4 linked regions of the Oreochromis niloticus genome follow. The protein of the gene in region 3 binds, or shares a complex with, the protein of the main gene of each other region. Links are inferred from orthologs where the notes say so. Each region holds a gene or a part of one and is shown on either strand. Other genes may lie near its edges.

Region 1 (6,887 bases), about 11 Mb from region 3:
TTGCATGATCATCTTAGGAGTGAAATTTATGAGATATTAAATTTCAGAGTATGGGACAGTGGTTTGATTTCCTCATCCAAACATATCTGTCCCGCCACGTTTGAGGAGATGCAAATCCTCCGCTCTCCAGTGAGCATTTCTTTTAGAACATCTGGAGTCACGTGTGCGTCACTAGTGCGGCTTAAAGATGACACGATCAGGAGTGAAAAGAGGTGACTGTACGAGACGTCTTGGATGGAAGAAGGCAGGGATACTGAACAGAGAGCCAAATATGTCATTATGTAGCTAAAGAGGTTCACAGTCTCTTTGGGAAGCAGCTGGATTGGAGAGCGGATCACTAATCACTGATCTGCTTCGCTGTTCAGCACACGCACAGAGATGGCTGTCATTAATAGCAATAGTTCACATCGTGATGTTTACGAAACCTCCTGCAGTTTATAAGGTTTATGTTCTTCTTACCGGTTCTATTATGTGCAATAACCACACAAAGGCAACTCTGTGAGACCAATTACATGAAATGTGATGCTGAAATCAGAGCTTTTTTTGTCGTTGTTGTACTTTCGTTGCTTGTGTTCAGTGACAAAAGCTAATGTAGGGAAATGGATTGTCAGAGTGATTTAACCTGAAGGACCAAAGCGGGATCATAAAATTTATTCTAATATCAGGATAATTATAGAAAAATGCATGGAATGAAAAAAAGGTGTTTAAACTCAATTTTCCTACAAAAACAGATGAGATGTGTTTTAAGTTTCTCTAAACTGGAAGCAGAAACTTAACTGCAACTCCAACGACAACCAACGGACAGTCATCAAGTCATTGAACAGTCTGGGGGAGTTTGGGGCTTAGATGTTAAGCCCCGCGGTACCAAAGACGAAAACAAGTCTCCCTTCTTCTCCCCCAGAATGTACATGCAGTGTCCAATGTTCCCGTTAATTTTCTAACCAAAATAAGTCCTCTGCGGACACATTAACGAAGTCTGTGGTACACTCAGTTTGTCTGGTAGCATCCCTGATTAGCTGATTATAAATGAGGTATGGGAAGATGTGAGATATGTGTAAGCGTTATGAAGTAGCTATGGAAGTGAATTTGCAGGATGCAAGGTCACTTGAGCGCATGTTGACGTCACACTGTTTGCTCTTTATCACTTTGTTAAATCATTTCACAGCTTCATCCGTTTGCTCATAAGAAGCCACCAGGCTTATTGTGCACTCGCATGGTAAAGAGTAATATGCAGGCTATCCCTACAGAAAGCTTGGACTGTCTGATTAAAAATGTGTGATGGGATTAGAGGTAGTTGTTTTATCTGATTTATGGCTTAGAGTTTAATTTCTGATTTTAAAAAAATGCAAGTTCTGTATACTGAACGCTGTTCCGAGGATTATAATAAAGATCATTTATAACCTTTACCCTTTCTTTGTGAGATGATTTGATCGGACACTGATCGCTGATACTTTTTCCATAACCATATTTATACACTGATGAGTAGCAAACACTTAATTATTTGTGATTCTTTCCAGTGCTCAGGAGTACACTCATCATGAGCATTTTCACAATACTCTCTTAGCTTTAAATTTACATTAGAGGCATTTAGGTAACCCAGTAGTAGCTTGGCTGCTGTTTCGTGCCATGTATTGATACGAAAACCTCTTGAAACAGCTTTTTCAAATACACTCTAGCTGGGGCTACTAGCCCTGGTAAGAATGGCAGGTGTGCTTTAAAACATAAATCATAAAGCTGAGGGGCGTGTAGGACACATCAGGAAGAACCAGAAAATGATTTCCACATTTTATTGCACATTTTATAGCTCCGAAGCTCCCCAGTCCTGTTGACTCGGAGGGCAGTAATTGCAGACGGGCACAATGTAGCAGGATGAGAGGGACTGAAGTGTTTCCACAGATGTACATAATGGGTTTATCCAGAGTGGTGAAGCAGTTCAGTCATAAATTACATTCCTCATCTCAGCAGAAGGTGACAAAAGAAAAGCAGCTTCAACGTAAACGCTCTTTTTCCACATTCACTGGGAAAATATTTAGTTGGGGCTGAATAGGAAGCTAGATTTCAGACTTAATCGACTCTCATTTTTTTTAAAATAGGGAAAAAATACATGAATAAGCATGAAGAGAGAAGATATTCCTTCATTTTCTTTTGCTTATCCAGTTCAGAGTTGTAGCGGGGCTGGATCCTGTCCCAGCTTTGACCGGGTGAGAGGGAGGTTACACCGAAAACATAAAGTTCTTTGAGAGTGTTGCACAGCCTTAGAACGGACTTTAATAACTTGAAGATGATAAGGCTCTGCGTTAGCACCTTGAGACAAATCAGCGCACTCGCTGGCCAACAAGGCAGCACTATAGCTAGTAAAGGAGCTGCCTGCCTGCTACTTTGCTCACCTAAAATCCAGCAAACCGAACAAGCAAGGCAAGTTAGACTTCACGACTGTACTCACAATAATGGGGTCATTGAAGGTAAATGCTAGTGTGAAATTCTAATGTGTTTCACTGTTTGATAAACTGGTCAGAGATGAAACTCATTAGGTAGGCTTGGCGATCCCAGCAGGCCCGATATCCCATGACCTCTTACCTGCAATGATATATAAATAAAACACATAAAAGTGGTAGAGGCACAGCATTAATATTCTTCAACTCCCACTGAAGCTTTATTTAATGAACTACACGGCCTTGAAAGATAAAGACGGAGAATGATAACACAGCTCTCTGCTGTTAGAGCTCTGTAAAGTGCAGCTGGTGTTTCAATGCTTGGAGGGCTCTCTGAGTCTTCCCTATCACCACACAGTGAAGATGATGTTCAAAAACACCTCATGATAAACTCTTACACAGCTACCTGCAGATCTGTAGGCCCTGATTAAGGATACAGTCATTTGTAGCATTTAATGAAATGCAGATGTGGCTCTAGAAGTTCATTAGAAAAGAATGGTGGAGGTTGCATTAGCTTCACTGGACTGTGCCTTACCAGGCAGTAAGTGCAAAGATGTGCCTCAGGTTGCTAATGTGGACCTCCACAAAGCTGACCACATAACTGAGCATGCCACGCAAGGTTACTTTATGATGAGAGACCGTAGTTTTCAGTAGATGGTAAAACTTCTAATTACAGGGACGAGATCTTAGTAATCAAAAAAGGGGTCACTTCTTTTTTGACAAAGTAATGCTATATAAACAAATCATACTTGGTTAACAAGAATTTCACTCACATGTGCTGTACCAGTGTACCAGAACATGTGATGTGACAATAAAAGTGATTTGATTTGATTTAATGAATTCAAAACAGTACAAACAGCAGTTGAATAAAATAAATAAAAATAATAATAAAAATTAAATAATCAAGGAAGCTGAACACGTTATTGTTTTCAGTTCAGTTTAGTTTAAGTTAGATTCCACAGTTTGCATACTACTGTTTTAATTAGTACCTGCATGATTATTTAAGATCAGTACAATGTTCTGATACAGACATGTGGCTTCCAGTCATAATGATACTCCAGTATCAGTAGACATACTGGTTCATGCCAGTTTTGTTGACAAAATGTAATCAAATTGACAAAAACTAACTATTAAAAAATTGTGGTTTTTTTGGTTAGCTTTTTGGTAGATGCTATGATTCTTATAGTAGTTTTCTTTTTCCACTAATAAAGAAATAAATAGCTGTCCATTAGTCCAAATTATAGGTTATCATCTCAAAACTTTGACTCACAAACTTCTGAGAAAATAACTCAGAAATGAGGGGGAGAAAACTTCCCAACTGTTTTCAGTTACTTTACAAAAAATAAAGGTTTTTTTTTTTTTAATTCATTTTACCTTTAGTTTTTCACACTTTTATGCCAAGGGAATCGACACAGAAACATAAGCAAAATCCCCCCCGCTTAGCTTCCGGGTTGGTTTTCCGCGGCTCCTTCTGGAAGTTTCATCTTGCCGTATATTTCATCTTTGTTGTAGACCGGCATTTTCCCACAACACCCCGCTCCTGCTCGCACAGATGACGAAAATGGCGGACAACTCATCGTCGGTAGGCTTAAGAAAGATATAATGTTAATATAGGCACATTGACCGGTTTCAGAGTATAAATTAACGTGTTGTTATTTACAGGTCGAGATTGTGGAGGGCTGTCGCCTCCCGGTTCTTCGTAAAAACCAAGAACACGAAGACGAATGGCGTAAGTATTGTCCGTTTTTCTTTCAATGCTAAGCTAATGCTAAGGAGCTCAGCTCAGCTGTTGTTACCAGAAGCCACGGCCTCCAGTTAAAGCGCTGTAAACACCATGGCCACAGATGGTGCATGCAGCTGTAAAGTGTGAATGAATTAAATTTGAAGACTTAAGAAAGCTGCTGCCACTCTCTCGGAAATTAAATTGCCAACTCTTAAATTTGACTTAGTTTCACGTTTTGTAGAAAAAAAAAAAGTACTAAATGCAGGTGGCATCAGTGATGTTTACAAATTTGAGAGCGAATTTATCAGGTTATCTCTCTTACTCTCTTGGCACTCAGTTTGGTCCATAGTAATCTAACACTCCTTTTTAACACATTTAGGCAAAAATAAAGAAAGAAATTAACGAAATTAAAGCACAGGTGGTATTTAAACCAAATTTAATTGGGCATCGCACTTAGACTTTATAATCCTGATACCTCAGCATAAATAATTACATTTTAGGACATTTAAAATCTCCCATTAAAGTAGATTTTATGCACCTTTGGTTTATTTTTAGCATTGAAATCTAAACAGTAACTTTTATCACATATCACATGCCTGTGTATTTAATGTTAAGTGTGTTAAAGCTCCAGTGTTTCATAGAAAAGCATCACAACGATTGTCTTCATTTGAGTACAGTTCAGATAAAATGTGACATCTCTGCTTTGTACAGCACTGGCTGAAATCCTGAGTGTGAAGGAAGTTTCTGGGAGAAAGCTCTACTATGTTCACTACATTGACTGTGAGTATATTTTGTGTCAGTCGTCTTGGTTTTTCTCAAGATTTGATTCACAGCCCCAGTTTAGTAAACATACATCAAAGCTAATTACACCTTTTAAGGTTTGTTTATTAAGTTGTTATCTAAAATTGCAAAGCAGATTTTTATTTATCTAGTAGTTCATTGATTTTTTTTTTTTGTCATATTTGGATCAATTCAAAATTATAGCTTTGTACCACATAGCTTTTGATTTATTTATTTTTTCACCCACCGTTTCCTGTCATGCTATAAGCTAAATAACTTCACACATCAAATCACCACTCTCTCTCTTTGTCTGTGTATTTAAGTCAACAAACGTCTGGATGAGTGGGTCACAACAGAAAGGCTGGACATGAAGAAGCTTCAGTTCCCCAAGAAAGATGCTAAAACACCAACCAAGAATGGTCTTTCAGGTTCCCGTCCTAGTTCTCCGGAGGGAGGGAGAGAGAGAGAGAGAGAGAGAGAGAGAGAGAGAGAGAGAAGTGGTAAGGAGTCCACGTGTGATTTAAAGCAATGTAATTATGATTCTCACAGTGTTAAGAAATGACGTCAGTCTTAATTTCTGTGTTGTGTGGTTTTTATTCATTTTATAGAAAAACCTGCATGATGGTAAATTTCATATTTGTTGCTGTTCACTTCCATTGATGCATGGTATAAGCGCTGCTTTCCATGGTCACTTTAATAAGCTGCAGTGTGCTTTATGCTGCTTGAGCAGTGATTTGTAACAGTCTACCCACAGGAAATGCAGCCATAATAACAATAAAAATATAGATAAATAAAAGGGCATCATGTTATAGAGGACCCTGTTTTTAACAAAATATCAATATCCTCTTTTTTCAGTCTTACATTTCTGTGTTAATACTTCTTTGTGTCTAATTTTAAATCAAACACATGCCACTGAAATGGTGAAACGCTCTTTTTATGACTAAACCTTTAGTTCGATTTTGTGTGAATTGAATTCCTCAGAATTAACCTGAGGGTTAACATGAATTATGCCAGTGTTAACCCGCTTCCTTCTCTTCCTTTCCGTTCAATTCAGAGGAAGAGTCTAGATCTCAACGTACAAACTGCCACAGCTCCTTCCAGAGGCAAAACCCTCCCCACTCCGGTACAAGTAGAATTCACCCACTCCACAAATTACTGAGATCTTTTTAAACCTGGTGTCAATGTGATTCTTGTGTGATGGCCCCACTGTTAATGTTGCCCTGCATGGGAATATAAAGCTATGCAGAGCTATAAGGTAAAGTAAGTCACATCTGAAAGACGTTTAATATAGAGTGTATCCAAATGAAGATTTATAATAGGAAGTGAAGCCCATCTGTTGCCATCACATTTAATACCAGGTTTAATGGGGTGTATTTACATTGGTTAACCTGCAAATTATCTGAGATTTGGAGAAATAAATTGATTTGCTGTGGCTATTAAAGATGCACAGTCTTAGTTCTGTCTGCATACAAACTGCTGAAAAAGCATCTTGATATCAAGATGTCACTCTTCATTGAATACAAATGGAGTCCCCTGCTTTTAATCAAGCCTCTGATCAAGTTGACATGAAAAAAAAAATCCCATCAAATTCGCCTTTGTTTGGTTTGTTTGTATTCGATCTTAAAGCTGAATGTCTAACACTGTTTGTTTGCTGCAGAAGAGGAAAGTAGAGCCTGCCCCTGTGGCTCCTCAGGTACCCCCGGTCACCCCTGTGCCCTCCCTCCCAAGTTCAGCTGAAGCCACTCAGGCAGCTGTTTTTCCTGCCGTGAGAGAGACGCCCACCTTTAAGTCCCGTGAAGACCATGAGCTCACAACGGTAAAGAAAATCCTCTTAAATTCTCTCTCTGTGTTTTTTTTTTTTTTTTTCTTTTCTCCTATTTGCTAATGAATATCTTTTAATGTCCTACTCACAGCAGAATGGCAACGCCCGACGACTCATCCCTGCTCCACCT
Region 2 (7,372 bases), on a different chromosome or scaffold from region 3:
CCGAGTCAACAAAAAACATGTCGACATGACACGTTAAACCTAATTTGTCTTAACAAACTTGTCATTTATTGACCCTCCGATAATCTCAGAATAACCAGGTTATTCTGAGATTGTAAAGCTTGGTGATGTGGACCAGAAATCTCTCAACATATTTTAGGCTGAATACCAAAACAATACCCTCCATTCTCTCTGAAAGCAGAAGCTCAAATGTCACAAACACTTCAATTAACCTGCTGTAAGACATCTGTTAAGTTGTCACAAAAAACAAAAACAAAAAAGGGAGCAATTTTATCTCGGAAAACATGTTATTCATCTACTGCTGCCTCAACTGGTTAGTCTGTGCTATATCGTGACTTTGGTTTTTTCTTTGCTTTATGATTGCTTTTGTCATGCATGGGAACACCAGCACACCCAAAATATCTTTTTTTGGCTTGTTGTGCACTAATTACGACCAACTCTCGTGTCTCCAGCACAGCTTGCGTGTACTCGGGCTGGATATGCAAGTGTACAAGCAGATCTGCAAGTGTCAGATAACAGAGGGAGATGCTGAAACAGGAGGAAAAAGTGATACGTTCAGTAAAAAACAAAACAAAAGACACACAAAAAAAACAATCGCATTCATTTCCCTGCTATTACTTTTTCCCCTTTTTGATTTTTTGTTTTTCCCTGAACTGTGACATCTGTCATCGAGGAAAAGACTACAGTGAGTGCTGAGGATCGCAAAGTGTGAATACTTCTTCTGTCCAGAAGAATGCTCCTTCATTCAACCATGAGAAAATTTAATAGTCTACTGGAAGAGAAAATACTCCTTTTATACTGGCCTGCCCCCAAAATACCTTTAAATAACCCCCACTGTGTACACACTCACACACAAAGGGAGCAAAAAAACAAGACAAGAGCTACTGGAATCCAAGTTGCAAACTTATTCTAGCCATACTAGATCACTTTTTGTGATCTCTCTGTGAACAACGCAATTCAATGAGCTCTCGCAGGTACAGGCAGTAAAATAAGAAATAGACTCCCTGGTGTCTCTGATTGAAGCCACGGGGGTTTAGTCACTAGTAGGAACTTTGATGTATACAGAAATTTTGTGCAAACATGTTCTGTAACGTGGCTTGCCAAGAGCAGTCTACATGAACGGCTATGGACAATCAAAAAATGGAAGGAGATTTTAACAGCATGCTGACCCCACCGTCATTCCTTTATTTAATACCTGTGTCTGTTTTTGTTCTTCCTCTTCTTGTGGCTCCCGTGGTGGCTGCCTGAGGAGGAGGAGGAAGCAGCCTTCTGAGGCTTCAGGTCCTGCAGCGTCGAGTCCACATCCTCCGTGTCTTCCTGGCTGGGCTCGTTTTCTTGGTTCTGGAGATCTGGAGAGGCATCGCTTTCTGTGCCGCTGCCTGCCTCACCTGAAGAAATCAAAACAACAGCATAAATGACACAAATTACCACCAGTCCACAAAATACAAACTTTTAATGCTGCTTAGCTCAAAAGCAAAACTCACGCTTTTCATTCATGTGATCTGGTATACCACCGAGTGCACAAACGGCCTGTAAAAATGTCACAGATTGAACAGTTTAGTAAGTGCTTTTTGTTATTATGCAGCATATCTGTTTAAAATAATAAGCAAAAGACTTACTGCAACTGATGTAACAGATGACTTGCTGAATAAACGCTCAGCTTCTTTGAATTTCCTATTCCGTCTATCAGTCTTACTATTGGAGTTCCTGTTAAATTAAAACAAGCAAACAAAAATGTAAAAAAAAATTAAACAATGGTTTGGTCCAAAAGTGGTTCCAAACGCCCACACTGGGAATAAGAAAAAATTGCGTATTTTAAATTATTTTAAGTTTTTCCTTATGAAAAGAAAAGAAAGTTCTTCAGACCCCCCCCCACCCAACTTTAACTTAAAAAAAAGTTGGACGTCCTGCTTCAACATCAACTAGATGTAGTTTTTTTTTTTCTTAATAATTTTACTGGAACTTGATTTCAGCCATCGGCTGTACTCTTCTTCCTCCTGCTGGCTTGTACGTAACTAATACAAGTCAATGGCTGACTTTTCATTTAGTGTAAATGCATTTCCACCAAGCTGCTTACTTTTGGTTGGTGAGGTATCTGTCCCATCCTCTGATGATGTTGCCATACATCTGGGTGTCTTCTAGGTAGCTGCCTTCAAATGCATATATTTGTCTTTCCAAGTTCACCAATGTCTCCTGTGACAGTGAAGAACGTGAAGGAAAAGAATAAATGTTAGATATCTGAGTTTTAGTCATTGTATTAATCAACCTGGCTGGTAAACTTTTAACAGACATTTATTTATAGACACACAAATTAGGATAATAAAATATGTCCCTTTTGAAGTGTTAATTATTCACTTGCATTTGCAGGAAGAATTCAGTGAGCGCGCAAAAGTGAAGATAGCGATGTCTGTCGCAATGCTGATTTATTCCTCATGCCAGAGAGGCAACAATATCACAGGTATCTGGCTGGATGTACACAATACACATGTGACACCAACTTATCGCGAGAACTTGGCCAAGCAGGGCGGCTGCTAAAATTTGGCTACGCTAAGCTGTTAGAATATTTTGTCAAAAGCGCTGCTGTAAAGTCGGTATACGTAAAAACACTTAAAAGAAATATTAAGAGAGCTGCATGGAGTCTTGTTACTACTAACACTACTCTTAATCAAACGTTATCAGCCAAACAACGCTGTCGACCCGCTAACTAAGTGAGCCGCTACCGCTAGCTCCGGCTAACATTAGTTTAGCATGTAGCGGGGCCTCGGCTAGCAGCGCGCACGAGAAAATTTCACGCGGTAAAATACTAAATGCGACGTTTATTTTATAACGAAACCACCTTAACGTCTACTTACGGCGAGTTCTTGTTTCCTCTTTACGAGCTCAGCGAGCTCCCGGCGAGTGTCCGGGATCTGCGGCGGAGTCGCCTTCGCATGCATCGCCATGACGGATAGCCGCTTAAAGTGGACACTAAACAGGGGAGACTAGGTACAATAAAGAAGCCCGCCTCCATTTCACCGACAGGTGGCGCTGGAGTCTCGCGATAGATCTGTTTTCACATCACCATAGCAACTGCTTTAAAATTCCAAGGACCTCGAATAGCGTCAGATGGCTTCGACTGAGTCCAAAGTGGAAATAGTTATAAATTCTTAAGCTGAAAACGTGACATAATGGTTTCTTTTATCTTGTAGCTAGTAAAAGATGTTCAATACAAGCTAAGTACCAAATAGCGATGACAACACATCAGGAAAAGAAGGGCTTTTCCACCCAGGCTAATAGGTTTGCTTCTCAAATTAGTCTGGTAGGAAGTTTAACTCCATCAAAATTCAAAGCATTTTAAAAGAATAATAATAACAGTGCCGCATAAATAACGTGTGTGGTCTTTGTGTGTCAGAGTGAAAGTCCAGGACCGGGAACCTACGACTGCTTTACCAGCACTGAAGTCAACAGTCCTTCCTTCTCAAAGAGAGGCACCACCGGCTTTTTCCCATCCAAGGTCAGGAGGTCCACTATGTATCATCTTGAAACGCCTTTGGGCATTTATTCTTGTTGATTATTTGTACGAGTCAAATCAGTTTTGTTTTGTTAAATCATACTTTTTGCCCCAATAGGGCTTTAAAAAAATCCTTACTTACCCTGTAAGTTATTTTCCCCCCAGCATCATTGCTAGTGGATTTTGTCTGTGTGCCTTTTTATGTATTGCCTGATCCAGGATGATTTTCTCCTATGGGAGACAATAAAGTTATCTTATCATTGTTAGATTGGTGTACACACCCTGCCATTCATCCTATGTTAACAGACTTCAGCTTCACTACAACCCTAATTTGAATAATCTGGCAGGAGATGGCAACCTTTAATGTCAAAGTATCCTTTTCTGAGCAATTTGTGACCAAAAAAAAAGTATGGAGCCACAAAACATCCTTGAGCCTTATAATGAAGATGACACAGAACTTAAAGTCAGTGTTAGTTATGGCTCCAGTACTCAGTTTACCTGATTACTTTTAGTCTAATAAATTTTAATCCCCTGCTGCTTTTAAATGTCTTCATCACTTCATCCTCTCTTCCAGGTTGACAGAAGGCCACAGAGACCCACTCCAGGCCCAAATGCATACAACCTACAGAGTTCCTTCATAAATAAATATGACTTCAACACTGGAGCCTCCAGGGTCTTCAGGCTGCCCATAGCTGTGCAGATGGATGGTCCCAAACATATAACTCCAGCTCCAAATCAGTATGATGTATGTGTGCTGATTATAAAAGCTGATTCAGGGTGTAATCTCTGAGATCCTGTTGTGTATTTTGTGTCATTTTTTCTTTCTGTACAGGTCAGTTGTGTGAGGAGAGTAAGCATCTCCTCAGTGGTTGGTACAGCGCCTTTCCTCTCAAGAACAACACGGGATTCATTTTGCCCAAACAAAAATGTGCCATCACCAGGTCTGCTTTGAAGTTTTGTCTCTTTTAGCCTCTTATTAAATTTGCACTTAAATTTTTAATTAAAAAAAAACTTCTAAAAGGCCACTACGAGGTGAACAGCAGCTTAATCCAGCATGGTTCAAAGGCGGTCTCGTCACCCTTCAGATCAAAAACTCACAGAATCCTTCCTCCGGCCGACCACCGTGTGCCGGGCCCGGGGGCCTACAACCCCCATCAGGCACCCACCCCAGTGAAGAAGACCATCCTTCCGTAAGTAACCATACAATGTTTAGGTTTTGCTACTTTTTTTTTTTATTATCTAAAGTTTATATCGTTTTATGTGTGTTTGAAGGAGAAGATATTTTTTGGCAATAGCAGCACCTCCTCAGACTGTACCTAAGGATCCTCCTTTGCCGGGCCCTGGGCACTATGACATAGGGCAGTATGACCGGCCATCAAAGCAGTCCATACCCACTGCTGCTTTTGCATCCAGAACTCAAAGAATACCCCAAAAACCGATGGCTGATAAGATCCCAGGACCAGGTAATAAGATAAATGAGGCAGTTTTCTCACATGCATTTGATCTCTGATTTACTGGGCCTTAAATAACACTGGTGCACATGGCAATATAGATATCCAGCACAGTCAGATCAGGCATTGGCCGTTCTGTAGTCTGAAAGCTCCTCGGTACAGTTATTGTGATATTGGATTGAATCTGCTGTATTTAACACGTTAGCTATCTTTCCTAGACCACATGCATTTTTTTTTTTAATCCAGCAAAACGGGTGCCCATTGAAACTTTTCTGTGTACACGGAGTGGCTGTTGTGTGGCCAACCATTTCCTAACAATAGTGATCATTCGGATAGTCTAATTTTATATTAAAAAGCTTTTTTATTTTTTTGTTGCAACATTTCAGTCAATATTTTCATTATGCATGGATACAGCATCTGTCCCGGGTTCAGTTTTTGTCTTTAACCTCATTGCTTAGCTCAGAACATTGCTGTAGTCTTCATGTATTATTGCATCTATTAAAAACATATTTCTGTACAGACAGGAAAGAAGCTTGAATGAGAACTTTCTTTTTCATTTGTTTAGGTTACATTCTACTTTTTGATGCTTGGTTCTTAAAAATGCGAAAGTCTGGTGAGAATTAATTTGCCTATAGTTTGCCTCACTTGCTCTCTTCTCTTTCCCCTCACTCACAGATGGTTTTGGCAGATGGTTCCCCCTTCCTGAACCGGGATCTACCAGAGGTTTCTTCCTGTTAAAAGGAAGCTTTTCCTCTCCACTGTCACCAAATGCTTCCTCATAGGGGGCTTGTGTGATTTTTGGTCTTTCTTTCTAATACTGTAGGAATCTTGTGTCCACTGTTGTGATTTGGTGTTACATAATTAAAATGGAATTGACTGAATCTGTTTGAAACAAGGCGTCTTTAATAAACTGGTGGTTTACACATTTGCCTAACTAGCTTTGATCCCAGGAGGAGATACAAAAAAAGATCTGCCAAACCAAACATGTGGAGCAATCCCTTATGAATAAAGGAGCAGCCAAAGTAGTTGTTATTGCATTCATGAAAGCATTAAGTAAAACTTTCTCTCTCCTTCCAGGTTTATATAATCCACAGCCCTTGTCAAAGCAGTCCTTCTTTTACAACGACTCCAGAGTCTGGGTTCCTGTGTGAAGCTTCCAGCTCAGACTGCACTGTAGATACGTACATCTTCACTCAGATGAACTGTGATTGTTGCTATTCTTTGATCGGCACTTTTAGAGTGAATAAGATGAAAATTAAATGTTTGCACCAATTTAGTCTCTAGTTCCGTGTTTATGTTGGCCAATCAGACCTTGGAATGTTTGGATGTTTTCGGAAATGAATCATAATTAGTATTTATCCACTGTGGTGGTGGTGGTGGTCAAATGCCAGAATTCTTGAAAAGCCATATGTTTTGTCCTTGTGGATTTGATGCTCTAAAGTGATATAGAAGAAAGTGTTGGCACAGTCCCCAGCAGCTGCCGGTCCAGCCAATGGTACGCCACAGTAACAGCTGAGAGCTCGAGATGACACCACTCTGCCAACTGCCAGAGGGCAGGCGGAGGGGTGGAGTGACTGTGTATGTGAGCAATGTGACTGACTGGGCATGAGGCAGGGTGGTGTTTAACCCAAAAGACAAATGGACGCATCACTCAGTCCCTGTATCACATGTTGCATTGGAGCTGAGTCTTTCACAATGTTTTAAAAAAATCAAATATTATTATTATGTTATTAATGCACATATGATTGTAAATGTTCTTTTTGTAAGGCCTTGTGCAGCTGTGGACCCAGATTCTCTTTTTACTTCATTTTTTTTAAATTTTCCAAGTCAGAAAACACAACATAAAGTTACACACGCCATCTTTTAAATGTTTTCTGTGGTTATTGTGATAAATGTGCCACTATAAACCATTTTGTCCACATTAATCATGGAGCAGGTCCTGAGCAGGAACAGCAGCTTTGTGGTTCAGATAAGTCGAAAGCTGCTGTAATCAGTATTTTGATAATAAAGCTCTACCTAATAACTACCTGAAGCAATATGATGCTTTGAAAGAAGGTAATTGTATGACAGCAATAAAGAAGAATTATCTTAATACCTCATATGTCGAGGTGATTTAAAATCTGTCTGACTAACCATTAATGATCTTGATCTCTGTTTCCTCATATAAGTGTTTAACTGTTACTCTGTATGATTACACTCACTTTTTTGTTACAGTGTTTAAAAATACAGTGTTTGCATCTGTGTGTAAACCTGTTGGCTTACAGATTCTGGCTGCAGTCACTAAGCTAAGCAAAGTAAAGACTTTTAAAATACTCTGTGATTCAAATGCCATTAAAACTCTGACTTTAAATTAATGACTGTTCCCCTTGAAAAAAATATGTGTCGGGGAGTTAAATGTCCAGATATTTCACGA
Region 3 (7,281 bases):
AAAGCCAGAAGATGTGGTACTGAGAAATGATGTTGAGTCATAATGCTCAGGTTTTTCATCATCTGGCCCCGTTTCCTCATTTCTTTCCATTCTCCTGTTAGATTGCCCCTGAGCTCACTCGCTGCCTCACGCTGAAATGTTTACCTTGATCACAAATGTCAACCTAACAGGTTACACTCACCTCTAAAACAGAAGTGTTTGCCTGATCACTGATAGTGTGAACAGGAACATTACCTCCTGCACACATATTAGCTGTTCAGCTGCAGCACATTAAAAAACTGCTGACACACAGCTCTGTCTGATTTTCTGTGTGTTTCCTCTCACAGGTGACGAAGCTCCCATGTACAAGTCTATGCCAGTCAAGGAGCCTCAGTACAGGGAGGACTTCCTGAGATGTGAGTCTCCTCTGATCCACACAGTTCACTGTTCTCGCTGCTCAGTTCACTGCATGACGCAAATTAGATGGGTTCTCTGTCAGACCCTGTGGCTGACCACTAAATCTGCTCTTAGAAGCTGCTGTTTGTCCTACAGTGTTGACAGAGGTTGGGACTGATTCACTGCAAATATTGCACAGCTATGTCATTTTTACTTAAGCTGCATTTTAACCTCCTGCAACCCGAGCTCTCGTTTGGGATGCATTTTTAATTTCTCCAAATTTTCTTGAAGCTGATTAGTTTAAAAAAAAGAAGCATCGCTTTTGAATAGAAAGGGTTTTTTTTAATATATAAATATATTAAAAAGTATGTCCTCAATAGAGAGACAGTGGGTTTGTTTTCCAGCATAACACAATATAGTTTTATGGTCATTATTAACAGAGTATTAAACATTTATTGAGTAAGATGAAGTGTAAGTCTAAATGTAATGTCCCCATATGAGGACACAGAGTCTCAGGAGGTTAATCCAGCTTTCAACAGAAATCGTTGGGGGCTCAAAATCTCAGCAGGGGAAAAACTGCACAGTCACTGACTCGCCTCACAGCTAAAAAAGGTCTTTGCTAGCTGGAATTCTGTTTGTGGTCAAACTCACAAACAGTGTTTGATACCTCTGGCATTCCAGATCATAGGCCGGGCAGATCTAGCCGAGGGCATCGGGTGTCTCACCAACTGTGACCTGCAGAGGTGGAGATACACAGCAGTCAGGTGACTATTCTGATTTCTGTGTCCAGCCAGAGGGTCTCTTGCTTTTTCTTCAAAGCGTGTTTTGCAGAAGCTAATTAAACTTCTACCGCAGTGAGTAGAAGTTTAACTGAGATGTTGATGACGTTCTGCTGCTGCATTGGAGTGGGGTGCTTCAGCTGCTGTAGGACAGATGCTTTGGCTTTCTTTGCTTTCCTCTTTTACATTTATCCCAGAGTGATTTAAGTTAAGCACTTCCTCTTGTTGAGTAAATAATGAACTTATCTTCCACCCATCTTTAGATGCTTGCCAGCTCACCCTTGACCAAAACACAGCCTACAGACAGCTTTACTTGTCACGAGGGAACAGAAAAGCTGCCCTCAAGAGAGACCCCCAGTCCTACCCTGACAGCCCTGCCAGGTTCGACTCCCTGCCCCAGGTCTTGTGTAAGGAGCCCCTCTCTGGAGGCACCTACTACTGGGAGGTAGACTGGAGTGGGGAGGGGGCTTCCATCGGCATCGCCTACAAAGGCATCAAGAGAACGGGCTACGGTGACAGCTGCCGCATCGGCTACAACCGCAAGTCATGGAGCCTTTTCTGCTCTGATTCCAGTTACTCAGCCCGCCACAACAAGGACCAGCAAGAGGTCAACGCGCCCTACTCCTCCCGCATCGGCGTTTTCCTGGATCACGCCGGGGGTACTCTCTCATTCTACACTGTTGGGGAAACCATGTCTCTAATCCACCGCTTTAAGGCCTCCTTTAGTGAACCTGTCTATCCAGGCTTCTGGGTTTGGTATGAGTCAGCCATTACCATTATCCAGCTGTGATTAAGTAACACATATCCAAAGATCAGTGGGTGTGGATGACGAGTACTGTTGTGAGAAAATATGCTTTTGTTCCCCCCCCCCTTTTTTTTCTAATATTAGATCGTTGTTTTGTTTGCTATCCAATATGTGCTGATGGGGGAAACGATGCTTGATGAGCAAATATTCAGCAAATCAACATGTGTTCAGTGTAAAATTAGTTGTAGAAAGTCAATGAGCATTTACTAATTCAGAAATAATATAGTATATGCATATTTACACTATAATTCAAAATAATGAACCTTGTACAATGTGATGACCATTTGTGATATTATGCTTTTTTTTATCAAATAAACTTTTGGTAACAAGCATGAGCTGTGATGTGGATTTTTTTTCTCTCATTTCTTCTATGATGACGAGCTTCCTAACTCACTCTTCAAGCTAATCAGCTCTAAGCCAGATCTGTAAGATCTTTAAAAGTCAGACATTTCCTGCCATTAGCAACATCACTCAGAGTGCAATTATTTCATAAGCAAATGTAAAATAGACCCAGCTTTGCGTGTGGACTAGTAGGAGATGGTGTGTTTGTGTGTGCTTAAAGCACAGTGTTTTGGAAAGCAGCTGAGAGGTCAGCAGGGAACTCTACAGGAACAGGCGAGGTGTAACTGAGAGGTTTCTGTGACGCTTAAGGCTCGTTATGCTGAATGGAAGTATGACTGAGTCCTAATGTATCGTCAAGTTCTTCATTAAAAAGTTCTGAGTTAGTGTAGCGACTCAGGAGCTGCAAAATTTACTACTTGAGTTCTACTTGATCAGCGTAGATGATAAAACTGCATCCAATCCGAGGTTTGCCCTTTTACCATGCAGCAGTCGCTCTGCTGTGATGTTTAAATAAAGCGACTTCAGTTTGTGGAATCTTAAGCCTGGGCCTTGAGGTGAAGCTTGAGCGGTCTAGTGGAGAGGATATGAAAACCCCTCCAGAAACCTTAAGATTATAATCAGCAGGCAAGCTTTCCCATTGTTCAATAATACTGCAGTCTTGATTTTTTAAGCTTTTAAAATTACTTTTTGCAAATATGAAGCTCAGCTTGAGACAAAGATGACAATAAAAATCTCAAACTCATCTCCATAGTTTGGATTATAATATTTCTCAGTTTAAAAAATGAGAGAGGCTTTTATGCACAATAAGATGAATGAAGCGGAGCCTGTAGAAAGTTGAGGTTGGTGGTAGCAAACGTTTATCCGGCTTGCTGCGGTCATCAATACCACTCTGCAAAAACTTTGGCTTCAAATTTGAAATTCTTAAACCTTTAATACAACTCGGGGGTCTTGCCACCTCTGGTGGACAAACGTCTGCAGTACCAAGTTTGAGCAGGTTTTTTTTTTTTATCGTGGCTGGTGACTGAAGTGAAAGCTTCCGCTGTTAACGTGTGCAAACAGTAACTAAAACAGTGCAAAATGCTTCCTTGGCTGGTCCAGCTTACGTACAGTATGACATTGACATTTCTACATTCTACATTATACCAGTAAATATTAAAGATTTCCACGGACGGGCTATTTTGTTGCGAGAAGAAAAGGTAAAATGTGAAAAGGGAGTTAAAGGGAGCCTAGCACACAGTTTAACCACTCTGGACTGAAACGGGCTTCACGGATTAAAATGTCCAAAATATAATCCAGGACACCGGTAAATCTCCAAAAGTTGAATCTGTTCATCTGGACGTAGCGTTTGGTGGGAGAAACGTTTCGTCACTCATCCAAGTGACTTCTTCAGTCTCAGCTGACTGCAGGTTTCCCCAAACCTTATCAACAGTACATTTGCATAATGACTGAAACCAGCCCACTGAAGGAACAATGGGCTGTGAGGTCAGTTCCTTAATCATAATTGTGCAAATTCCCATGACCATTGATCAACAATCACTGACCAGAACCCACTGATCAAAGAACACTGATCAATGGCCATGAGTACCATTCACAGAGAGTTGGGGAATGGCTGCAATCACAGCATTGTAAGATGGCCAGTGATTGTTGATCAATGGTCATGGGAATTTGCACAATTATGATTAAGGAACTGACCTCACAGCCCATTGTTCCTTTAGTGGGCTGGGTTCAGTCATTATGCAAATGTACTGTTTATAAGGTTTGGGGAAACCTGCAGTCAGCTGAGACTGAAGAAGTCACTTGGATGAGTGACGAAACTTTTCTCCCACCAAACGCTACGTCCAGATGAACAGATTCAACTTTTGGAGATTTACTTTCCTGGATGATTGAGAATGCATCAAGACACCGGTAAGGTTTCCTGCCACTCCCTGTAAGTCACAAGCTCGTGCTGTCATTTTACCATCGAGCCCATAGAGGGCAGTCAACCCAAACATCCCCTAGCAGGAAAAAGAAATAAAAGAAGCGGTTTCTGTACGGACGCTTTTAATCTGCGCACAATCAGAAAGAAGCGCCGCATTCTCACATTTTCGTAAGTGTGGCTGCACAGGTGAGTGTTCATGCGATCAATATAAACAGTGCTAACTCCAGGCTTTCACACTGTGGTGTTACAGGATGTGTCCTGTAAGATCATCCTTTCGTGTTCTGTTGAACATCGCGTCTTCGTCTTGCTAAGCAGGAGTTACTCAAAGAAGAAAGCTTTGAATGGAGCTAGCTAATTTGCTAACATAACATTAGCTGGTGTTAGCATTACTTGTCACTGTCCTTGCTCTGTTTACTTGGCGCCAAACTAGATTTGTGGCTTTGGTGTACCACGTTATTAAATCTGTGTAATGGCGATACCCGAGCTTTCCGTTGCTTATATGAAAAAGTGAAAATACGAAGAATAAAAAGCCTTAGAAACTAGGCTAACGTAATGCTAACACTGTTCTTACTCTGTTGTGGCATGCGCTCAACTCTGTCACTATGACAACCACCTGACCAGGACGGGCTCTTTAAAGTGTTAATTGTTTGACAATCTAATGTTGTGGTAGTCTTATCACCAAAGTGTTTTGTTTTTTAACATTTATTTAATGGTGACTGGGTTGTATGTCGTTAAAACGTCAGTAGAAATATTTGAACCTCTTGCTGGATCGAATATTTTTTTTATTTATCTATTGTTTGACATTCTGACATAGAGTGGGATACTCTGAATACTCTGTCTAATAATGCATGTTTTTAAATTTAAAAGTAGTGGTAGGAAAGCGGGCAGGATCACTTTATAGTGACTAATGAATGATTTCTCTGCTTTTAATACAGATGGCAACTACAAAGGTTCCAGAGGTTCGTGACATCACACGAATCGAGAGAATTGGTAGGACTGAGACCCGGAAACACATGATTGGTTACTGTGTGATAGTGCTGTGATAGGTGCACATGGTACCTGATTCTTGAGAGTTTTTTCACTTCCTGTGACTCACATTATTTTATCTGTTTTCACCTTGTGTTTAGGTGCACATTCTCACATTCGTGGCCTTGGTTTGGATGATGCTTTGGAGCCAAGACAGGTAGCTTTAATTCCCTTTTCCTCTCTTTCTTAAGGGGCATGTAATAGATTTGTGACTTAAATATTCTGTGTCTGTGTAGAGGAGATGTGCCTTTTACATGTCTATGTTCAATTCCAGGTGTCTCAGGGGATGGTTGGCCAGCTGGCCTCCCGTCGAGCTGCAGGAGTCATCTTGGAGATGATCAAAGATGGCCACATTGCTGGCAGGGCAGTACTGATTGCTGGCCAGCCTGGCACAGGAAAGACTGCAATTGCTATGGGTAAGAGCTCCACTGGAAGCTTTCCAGAACATAATATCAGCCCCAGTTAGAAGATATTGGTTTCTTGGATTGATGGAATTGGCTTAGGGTACATTTTTGTTGCTCCTAGCTTGATTGGCAGAGTGTAGGTTTGGCTGAGACTTTGTTTTTGATTTTGGGGGGTTTTCCAATGCAGGCATCGCCCAGTCTCTTGGCCCTGATACACCCTTTACAGCACTGGCTGGTAGTGAGATCTTCTCCCTGGAGATGAGCAAGACTGAGGCACTTAGCCAAGCTTTTAGAAAAGCCATCGGAGTAAGGATCAAGTGAGTGAGCAAATGCTGTAATAGGGTTTGGTAAATCTTCTTATACGAAAAGAACTGCTATTAACTGTTTTTGTTTTTTAACAGAGAGGAGACGGAGATCATTGAAGGAGAGGTGGTCGAGATCCAGATTGACAGACCAGCCACAGGAACAGTAAGCAGCTTACACTCATAATATAGTTAACCCAGTCTTTTTATGTGGTTCTTTGGAAAGTATTTTATTGGTCACACTAGGGTTGGGCGATATGTAAAAATTTTCCAACCGACAATCGTCAGTCCAATAATCGACGATGGGCGACATATTCGTGCATGCGCAGACTTTTTGATGGGCGGAGCAATGTAATCATGCACGGACTGATTTGCACGTTTACAACACAGAAGAAGTCCAAACATGGACGAACTAATTTCCCAAAAATTAGGGCTGTGGCGTTAACGCGGTCATCACGATTAACGCGATTAAAAATTTTAACACGCTGAACCCATCGGGAGCGCAGAATGAACGAACTTTGGACAAACTGCTCAAAATGTGTTGACAGAGACATTTCAGGGATTTTGACTCAGTCTGCGCACTGATGGGTTACTTGTTAATCGCGTTAGTCGTGACGATGGCGCATTAACGCTGACAGCACTAAAAAAATATAAAGTTGCCAATTTGGGATTTTTAAGCCAGATGAAAGCAGCAAACCTGAGGATGTAACCAAAGCGGTGTGCGCTTGTGCAGACGTATAGTGCGAGCAAAGTACTCAAACACGGCTAACTTGCATGAGCATGTACGTGTCCACCGTCCAGCTGAGTATGCTAGGCTATCAGCAGCTTCTGCAGCTACATCATCAAGCATCTGGGCGCACTCTGAGGAGGGGGCGTTTGCTCGCAGATGAAAGAGGGTGCCGTTATCTTTTTTCTGTTGACTGCTTCTATTAGCTCCATCATTCTTAGCAAACTTACTCATGGGCGGGCAAATAAATAAATAAATCACCCGTGTGAAAACGATCGCCGATGGGCCGATGGGCTCAGCCTGTTGTCAATAATCGATATTTTCATCCAGTCGCCCAACCCGAGTGTCACAGACAGTATAGATTTCACATGTAGTTAAATGAACATGTAAACACTGTTGTAGATATAAAACACTGTACTTCATATAACTTACTGAGAATTTTGTGCCTTGGATCAGGGTGCAAAGGTGGGCAAGTTGACGCTAAAGACTACAGAGATGGAGACGATCTATGACTTGGGCAACAAGATGATTGACAGTTTGAGTAAAGAGAAGGTGCAAGCTGGGTAAGTTCAGTAGGTGATCTTGTTACAGGACCTGTTATGT
Region 4 (7,838 bases), on a different chromosome or scaffold from region 3:
TAAGTACTATACGATTAGTATGGGGGAGGGAGAAGTCCTTTCAATTTAAAGCTAAAGTGGTCACGAATGCCAGCCCCCTCAAAAGTATTAACATTTCACATTTAACAAAGGTTAACTTAACACATGCCCATACCTAATACTTGTCAAATGACCCTATAGTCGAGCTGTAATATGGTAGTTTTATGGACGTAGTGTGCACCAGACATAATTTTTGTCCATTTGGTTTTTCTGAAGGAGATCCACACGGAGCATTTTGGTGGCTGTGTTTTGTTTGGCTTTACATGTTTCTCCTGTTTGCACAGTAGCATCCAATTTCACTGTGCCACACATTTTAGTAACACTACCAGAAATTAGTGAAAATTTTAGAAATCACTCAAAGACAGTTAGTCGATTAAACAAACTGTTCAATACTTTGTGTGTTAATAAATACACACAAAGAGAAATCATGACTGTAAACAGTGTGAAGGATAGATGTAGCTTCCAGGACTGAAAAGTGGATACCTCACAGCCAGCAGGGGGCGACTTCTCTAGGTGAATAAGGCTGTCTACTGTTACAGATGGAAAAAACTAGCCTCAACTCCCTTCCCCTCCATCAGTAAACCATTTCCTGCTGACTTAGCGTCATACTAAATAAAAGATTGAGGCAATTCTGTAAATTATAATTAAAGACAGGAGGATTTACTGGCTGATGTATTGTGAATAATAAATTGTGGCATCACAGGGACAAAGTCCATCTCTAAAGCATTTTAATTTTGTAGTCAAAAACGTGGCTTACAGATTTACCTTTTAACTTCCCCAGACGTTATGGAACAATTCAGTGTGAGTGTAAAGGTAACGGCCACTGGAACACACAAACTATTTACACTATGCAGGACATGGTGCAAGCAAAGATGTCCTGTTGCATTACAAAAACAGATTGTTTCAGAAGTTAATTGCTCACCAGAGGTTTGAAGGTTTAACTGCTGATGAAGTTAATCCCTTGATTATACTATAACAGCAACAACAAAAACTTCCACCTGCTTTAGATTCTGGTTACACTTGCAAGCTAAAATTCTGAATTAAAGAGACAAAGTCATGCATATGCATTGTGACGCAACAAACACTCACAAACTGTGCCTGCTGGTAAGTTAGAACAACATAATTCTCAGCCAACATTTGGGTATTTAGTCAGTGCAACAACACCCCACTGTTGCTGGACAGGATGTGGGTCAGGGAGCTAAGCCACGCACAGGCTTGTAGTAAAACTGTCCTCTTTATCTCTTCTGTCACACTGTTATGTAATTTCTGCTGTGTATGTGCACAGTAAGTTGAGGAAGGTATGAAAGCAGGATTTCAACTTGCTTTACATCCCATCTGTGGATCATGTTTGTGTCTGCTGAGGCATCTCAGGGGGTGTACAAAAGTGAATGAGAAAAATTCAGTGGAGCCGACCAGATGAGCAGGTAATGCATGAGCAACTTAAACTTTGTCTACAATCAGAAAAACAGCTTTCATTTCAGGTATAAACTCTAAATGAAAGGCTTTGTGATCAAAACATAGCCTAATCAGTCTTCATTCAAATGCAAAAATGTCTATTTGGATATAATTTGAATATGTGTTATCTCAAAACACGTGAGTAAAAGCAGAACAATATACTACAGTGTTAAAAAACAAAAATCAGACTAACACCACAGTACAGGCATATCTCGGTGGGCCAAACTCATGCAATTATGAAGGAAATTCAAGTAATAAATAAGTAGTTGCAATAAGGCACTTTCATAAGAGTAATTTATGCTAAGCCCAATTTTCAGGAACATAACTGAACTTTTCTATCGTCACCGTATTCTTGCCATCGACGCTTCTAACCAATAAGATACTTGGAATATGGCTCCAGAAATGAAGACTACATCCTCGTGCTGCACTACATGAATGAAACTTCCCCAGGAATAGCACAGTCATGGCTACACCATGCATGTCGTAACACATTTTACAGCCATTGCACCACGTATATGTGAAGAGGTGTGCAGTTATTAATCAGAAAGCAGAGCTCTGGGATTTATTTTTTTAAACTCCGCATTCTCCGCGAAACAGGCAGCACACATGGCAGGGCTGTGGCTGTCAACACGAGGCGCCTAGCTGTCAACCGGGGCTGAAGGCTCAGTGTCTCCCCCTGGCATTTGCTAACGAAAAGTACACCACGTCCAAGGCCTATCCCGCTCGCCTTTACCAACGAGAAAGTCAACAAAATGGTGGCACAGATAGAGGTCACGTGACTTCTTTGTGCATTCAGGTACTGCTTAAAAGGAAATAAACGGACACAACACGGCTTGCCAATAAAATATCACAGTATTGCAACCTTATACAACCACTCGTGGTGAAACGGCTTAGTAAAATTCAGTTTTCATCGAGCTCCATCGTGCGCACGAAAGAGAAAATATGGCGGCCATTTTGCACAAGCTTGCGCAGGCAACATAGCGGCGCCTCGCGCTATGAAAATGCCGCCAAAGATCCACCGCCAGTCGGGCGGCAATAAAATAACATACCGATTCCTCCTCTTTTTCCATCCCCGTTGGCATCTGCGGTACTGCCCGGTTGATTGAGGCATATTCGTGCAGGTCCGGCAAATCCTCGCAGCGGAAGACGGGCAGGGGCTTACTAGCATCCAGTGCCCGTGCCCGAAACGACAATTTACTCATTTTTATAATAAAAGATGCAGCATAAATCTATTCGATCTGCTAGGAATAACAGCAGGTCTGCCTCGAGTTCTCATGGATGAATCTGTGACGGTCTCTGAGAGTCAGCCGGTCGATTGAGGGCGGGCTTGGGTCCGTAGCAGCGCGAACAGAGCCGGGCAGGCCCGGGTCTCGATCGCTCTCTGTCGGTCTCTTTCTCTCGTAGGCACCGCTGTTCCTCCCCGGTTCAATACGCCATTGCCAACATGGCGGACATTACAAACTCATGCAGCTCACCGCTCGCTCCAAGCGGCCCAACCCCCTCGATCACACAAACAGCCATTCCCACGCAGTTTCGCACGCGTGCGCGCTCGCGAGACCCTTGGGGTACGAGAAAAGGGAGGAAGGAGGGGCTGAATCGACAGCGGGGGCAAAAACGCTGGATGCTGATGATGGGATGTGAACTTACTAGGCTCGGGATGTTCTCATCCTGTTATACGACAGGCTGATGCTGACGTATAAAAATATATATATTTTACATCTTTTTAAAAAAAAAAAAGTATATATAGATATTTTAAAAAAAAAAAAACGTAAAAAGGACGTAACGCATTCATTATGCCGCCACATATAGACAGATCGTATTAACGACTGACACACCACCGTAACTCTGAGGTTTCACGGGTGTTTTCTAGCACAGCAAGGACGCAATTCTTCAAACTTGTATCGTGTGTTTAAATTATTATGAACAACCAGAACATGCTGTATCAATTAGTGAATTGTTTTGCAAATATCGCCACCCTGTGGTGCAAACACTACAGTTTTAATTATAACTGGACTGTCTTGTGTTCATGCGAATGCACAAAACGTATTAACATGGTCAGAGCCAGGAAGTAGTCCGATGTGTCGTCATCACAGTAGCAACGTTACGCCCAAATACTACAGAATATATATAAAATGATCTAGAAGGTGAACAACAGGAACAAAACTGGTTTAGGTTGAGCAATAAACAAATATGTATTCTGGCCTTATTTGTGTTATTTTATGTAGTGTTCTCTTTAAACAAACAAAAATGAAGAGCAGTGCACCCTGGGCACACTGGTCATAATGGGATAAATATGGTCAGTACCAGGTTAGTTCAGTTACTACTAAGGGGCCCAAAGAAAATATCCCACACAACATCATCCTGATCCATTAATAAAAAGCAGTATGGATCCACACTTTTATGTAGTTTACAACAACTTGTGACCCTTCCAAATGTCACATCAGAAAATGAAGACTCAAACCTGGCAACATTTTTCCAAACTTCTACTTTCCAATTATGGTGAGTACTTGCAAACTGCAGGCTCGGTTTTTTGTTCTTAGCTGACAAGAGTTACAGTCAGTGTAGTCTTCTGAGCTGTGGATCATCTGCTTTAAGGTTCACCGTGTTGTTCATTCACAGATGCTCTGTGTAACCACTGGGTATTTGAGTTACTTTTACCTTGCCCATTAGCTTAAAGCAGTATGGCCATTCTCCTCAGACCTCTGACATCAACAAGGTATTGTCACAAAACGCACTGCTGCTCCCTGGATATTTTCTCTTTTGTGAACATTTTCTGAAACCCTAGAGATGGTTGTGTGTGGAAAAATCCCAGTACATCAGCAGTTTCTGAAATACTCAGACCAGGCCATCTGGCATCAACAATCCCAGGTTCAAAGCTACTTAAACCATCTTTCTTTCCCCATTCTGATGCTCAGTTTGAACTTCAGTAGGTTGCATTGGCCATGTTTACATACCTACATGCATTGAGTTACTACTAATGAAAAGGTCTACCTAACAAAGTGATTACATCCCAATATAGAAAAACATCTGAATCCAGGAAGCGCCCTTATTTAAGTCATTTTTCAAGTGCATTACTTTACTAAGTGACCCTTACTGTGTATTTCATATTTGACAATGTGCATCATCTTTTTGGTGCCTGGCCAGGAAGAATAAGAAGTACCCTAGAGTGCTGCAATAACTCTTTCTAATGAGTACATACATGCCGTTTTAACCACAACAATGTTTCATGCCTTTTTTTGGCAACAGAAACAAAAGTACACTGGTGCATATAATGCTTTAATTTGTTAAGTGTCAATTTGCTGTGATTAACTGTAGTTTCATCTCAGCAAAGCTTCATCTTCTCATTGTTGGTTGCCAGTACAGGAAATGCTGCAGAAAAGTAAACCTACCACCCTGACTGGTCCTTCTGAGATGTAGTTTACATCTGACCAAATGTTAGATGACACATTTCTCACTTTCATTGGTGCATCATTGTCAGCGAGCTAAAAGAAATCAGGGAAGCCACCAACTTCCAAATTTGTTCATTTCAGCAAATGTTTATCACAGCACATTTGCTGGTCCGTTTCATTTAATGGAACAGTAATTAAATGCAATAGCTTCTTCATTCTTGACCTTTAAGCCATTAGCTGCATGAATTCTTGTTTTCCATTTTTATATTTGATCTAGAAAGTAGGCAGCCTGAATAAGGATATTTCTGGCTTTATGAACACAGCACTTGTTACTTTTAATATTACTGCTCCAAGCTGATTTCTCGGCATGCAAACATGTACTATTATACACGAAGACTCAATACAGAAACTGAATATGAACTCTTACTTAGACAAGCTCCAAACTATACTGTGTTTTCTTTTCTATCCTGTGCGTGATGCATTCACCGCTCTGCATAAAGCAAACCAGCCTGATCCTTTGCTGCCTTACTGACCCATCAGTAAACTAAGCTAATAGATAAAATCTGCTCAGGATGCTGGAAAGCAGAGCTTTGCCAATCCGATATTGACAGAAGCATCTGAGAGGCTGGTGTTTGGAGCGATTTCGATTTCTTCACTTTATAAAGCTAAAGATAAGGCTGTTAACCAACTCTGTAAAACCTCTACACCACAGAGTCCCTACATATACTATAATGAATAGGCACAATATTGAGGAATACAAAATGGGAAGCTTACAGTTTTCATTAAAAACTACAGGATTAATACAGATATTAGGAGGAGGCACAGTGGATGGGGTTGAATGCACAGACCTGCTAGGGCCTTTTTGTGTGAAGTTTGCATGTTTTCCCTGTACATGCCTGGTTTCTCTCTACAGCTACATTGGCTTGTTCCATTTCCTTGATTTCCTTGATCATTCCTGCACTGCAGCTTGTTTGTTCTTATTTTTATGCCTCACCCTCCTCCCCACTTTTCCCAGTTCTCACACCCCTCATTAGTACACAAGGATCTGTCTGACCTGGGGCCACTGCCAGTCCTCACCAAGGCCTTCAATCCATAAATCTCAGACCTGCTACTAGCGAAATCGATGTTAGATTAAGCGGTGATTCTAAATTCATCATAAATGTGAATCTATGTCTCTTTGTGTTAGCCCTGGCCAGAGTTGTACCCCACCTCTTGCCCATTGACAACTGGAATAGGCCCCAGCCCTACTACGACCCTGAATTGGGTAAGTGGAAGAAAACCATGGAAACCAACTACCCTCCCCTTACAGTCTTCGTCAAAATCACTGAAAATAAGAAGAAATGCAAATAACCTGAAGAAATGGGTGAAAATTTTTGTGGCGATGAAAACAAGATCCAGGCGAAGATTTCGGTCACAATAATCATCATCCATTTGGGAGACATAGGCTCACATCTGTAGACCATAATGGAGGCCTGTGAAACAAAATGAGTCAAAAAAAGAAGTGCTTATAAACATCATTATTACTGGAAGTTATTACTGGAAACAAATATCATTTCTAAGCCCAGAAGACATCTCAGCATCTGCTGTGAGATTATTTTCTCTATAGGACACTTTAACTCTGTGTGCATGTTTACATTGGAGAAAACCTCGACAATTTCTACATCTGCTACCTACGTATACACTAACGCTGCCAAGTAAACGTTTGTACGGATGAATTTTCCCATATCCATTGGCTCTGGACTGTTTTGAAGCACACAGAGCAAGTTTTGCTCCTGCAATAGAGTACACAGTAGAGTAAGCCATATATGGTGGAACAGAGGGGTAAACAGAGCAGGACACGACAGCAAAAAAACTGTAAGGTATCGTTTTAGCAAATGACAAGCAATTGGGCACCGCTTCGACCCCGGAAAAATGAGTTTTCGAGGGCTTTTTAATTCGTTCAGTTCTCAAGACCACACAGCTGCTTGCACAAAGAACAGCGATATAGATGCTAGCTTAACGCTAGCTTAGCCCAGTTACCCTGACCCTGCGCCATTTACCAGCCAGCTAACAGTTTGCGGACAGCCCACCAACAGTTTCATTTGAGCTCGCAAGTGACTTTAAAGCCACAACTTTCGCTTCCCACGGATACAACACGGGGAAAACTAGCTTGAGCTTGACTCGCAACTTACCCGATGCCAGCAAACCCACAGTGGAGGAGGAGGAGGATGGTGATGGTGGCAGTTGTTCTTCTGGCTGTCATGCTAGCCTAATGCTAACGCTTGTTAGCTCTCTTCTAGGACGCCTCAGAGGAAAAAAAACAGAAGGATATTCAGTTTCTTTTTATATGTCTGCAAGTGCCGTTAATGCAAAAAGAGAGGTCACTGGAAGCCAAAGCAAGGGTAAAGGAGGAGATGTCCTGTCGCTGACGAAAAACTTGGTTAGTTAGCTTAGGTTACTTCGACCCAAAAAAAAAAAAAAACCCGATCCAAAGTGACCACCAAACCACTTTACAGGCGGATTGTGATTGGACGGTGAAAGCCACCAATCACCTGTGGAGAACTCGGGGAGGATGAGCTCACTAGTAACCCCGCCCACCCACGAATAACAACAACAGAAGTAACAATAATAATAATAATAGGAAAAATGTTGTCATGCATTAATGCGAATTTATTACGGTAGTGTGCAAATAATAGGATTCAAATAGGCTTTTAAACACAGACGGAGTCAAAGGGCAAAACTTATTAGAGCCACTTACTGAACAGCAAATAATCAGATACATTTTTTTCATAACATAGCTGCAGTATTTGTTACATAACTGTCTCCTGGGCTGGTCACCTCCCTCCACCGCCCTCTGCCCCTCCACTAGTTTTGTCGCAGGGCAGGGCTGCTCCTGCTTCCTTCTTCCTTCCTTTTCTGATGCTCTGATATCTGCACTGCACATTTTTCATGATCAGACACAGTCCAAAGAGAATGCTGCATAGTATAGTGGAAGCA

The links.
Region 1: ruvbl2 (region 3) and histone acetyltransferase KAT5 share a complex: the UniProt entries of both Homo sapiens proteins name them as parts of the SWR1-like complex. The link is inferred for Oreochromis niloticus from reciprocal best matches to the Homo sapiens genes RUVBL2 and KAT5.
Region 2: ruvbl2 (region 3) and meaf6 share a complex: the UniProt entries of both Homo sapiens proteins name them as parts of the nuA4 histone acetyltransferase complex. The link is inferred for Oreochromis niloticus from reciprocal best matches to the Homo sapiens genes RUVBL2 and MEAF6.
Region 4: ruvbl2 (region 3) and enhancer of polycomb homolog 1 share a complex: the UniProt entries of both Homo sapiens proteins name them as parts of the nuA4-related complex. The link is inferred for Oreochromis niloticus from reciprocal best matches to the Homo sapiens genes RUVBL2 and EPC1.

The regions. Positions count from the first base shown.
Region 1 is NC_031975.2:11,844,837-11,851,723, forward strand, and holds the start of histone acetyltransferase KAT5, read left to right. Parts: upstream 1-3,875; 5' UTR 3,876-3,984; coding exon 3,985-4,014; intron 4,015-4,094; coding exon 4,095-4,161; intron 4,162-4,866; coding exon 4,867-4,935; intron 4,936-5,258; coding exon 5,259-5,397; coding exon of another isoform or gene 5,398-5,435; intron 5,436-5,985; coding exon 5,986-6,058; coding exon of another isoform or gene 6,059-6,064; intron 6,065-6,592; coding exon 6,593-6,751; intron 6,752-6,848; coding exon of another isoform or gene 6,849-6,851; coding exon 6,852-6,887. UniProt on the Homo sapiens protein: Catalytic subunit of the NuA4 histone acetyltransferase complex, a multiprotein complex involved in transcriptional activation of select genes principally by acetylation of nucleosomal histones H2A and H4.
Region 2 is NC_031985.2:13,858,238-13,865,609, reverse strand, and holds the start of meaf6 (chromatin modification-related protein MEAF6), read right to left. Parts: upstream 3,011-7,372; 5' UTR 2,961-3,010; coding exon 2,871-2,960; exon of another isoform or gene 2,870-2,870; intron 2,212-2,869; coding exon 2,096-2,211; intron 1,726-2,095; coding exon 1,638-1,725; intron 1,549-1,637; coding exon 1,503-1,548; intron 1,407-1,502; coding exon 1,214-1,406; intron 1-1,213. Other genes in the region: stpg1 (O(6)-methylguanine-induced apoptosis 2), read left to right, coding at 3,248-3,316, 3,410-3,511, 4,083-4,253, 4,341-4,449, 4,530-4,698, 4,781-4,971, 5,635-5,741.
Region 3 is NC_031975.2:1,309,769-1,317,049, reverse strand, and holds the start of ruvbl2 (ruvB-like 2), read left to right. Parts: upstream 1-4,265; 5' UTR 4,266-4,405; intron 4,406-4,849; exon of another isoform or gene 4,850-4,957; intron 4,958-5,154; coding exon 5,155-5,209; intron 5,210-5,346; coding exon 5,347-5,402; intron 5,403-5,519; coding exon 5,520-5,661; intron 5,662-5,836; coding exon 5,837-5,966; intron 5,967-6,050; coding exon 6,051-6,117; intron 6,118-7,134; coding exon 7,135-7,241; intron 7,242-7,281. Other genes in the region: ftr83 (finTRIM family, member 83), read left to right, coding at 327-395, 1,418-1,944. UniProt on the Homo sapiens protein: Possesses single-stranded DNA-stimulated ATPase and ATP-dependent DNA helicase (5' to 3') activity; hexamerization is thought to be critical for ATP hydrolysis and adjacent subunits in the ring-like structure contribute to the ATPase activity.
Region 4 is NC_031974.2:10,910,524-10,918,361, reverse strand, and holds the start of enhancer of polycomb homolog 1, read right to left. Parts: upstream 3,013-7,838; 5' UTR 2,676-3,012; coding exon 2,523-2,675; intron 1-2,522. UniProt on the Homo sapiens protein: Component of the NuA4 histone acetyltransferase (HAT) complex, a multiprotein complex involved in transcriptional activation of select genes principally by acetylation of nucleosomal histones H4 and H2A.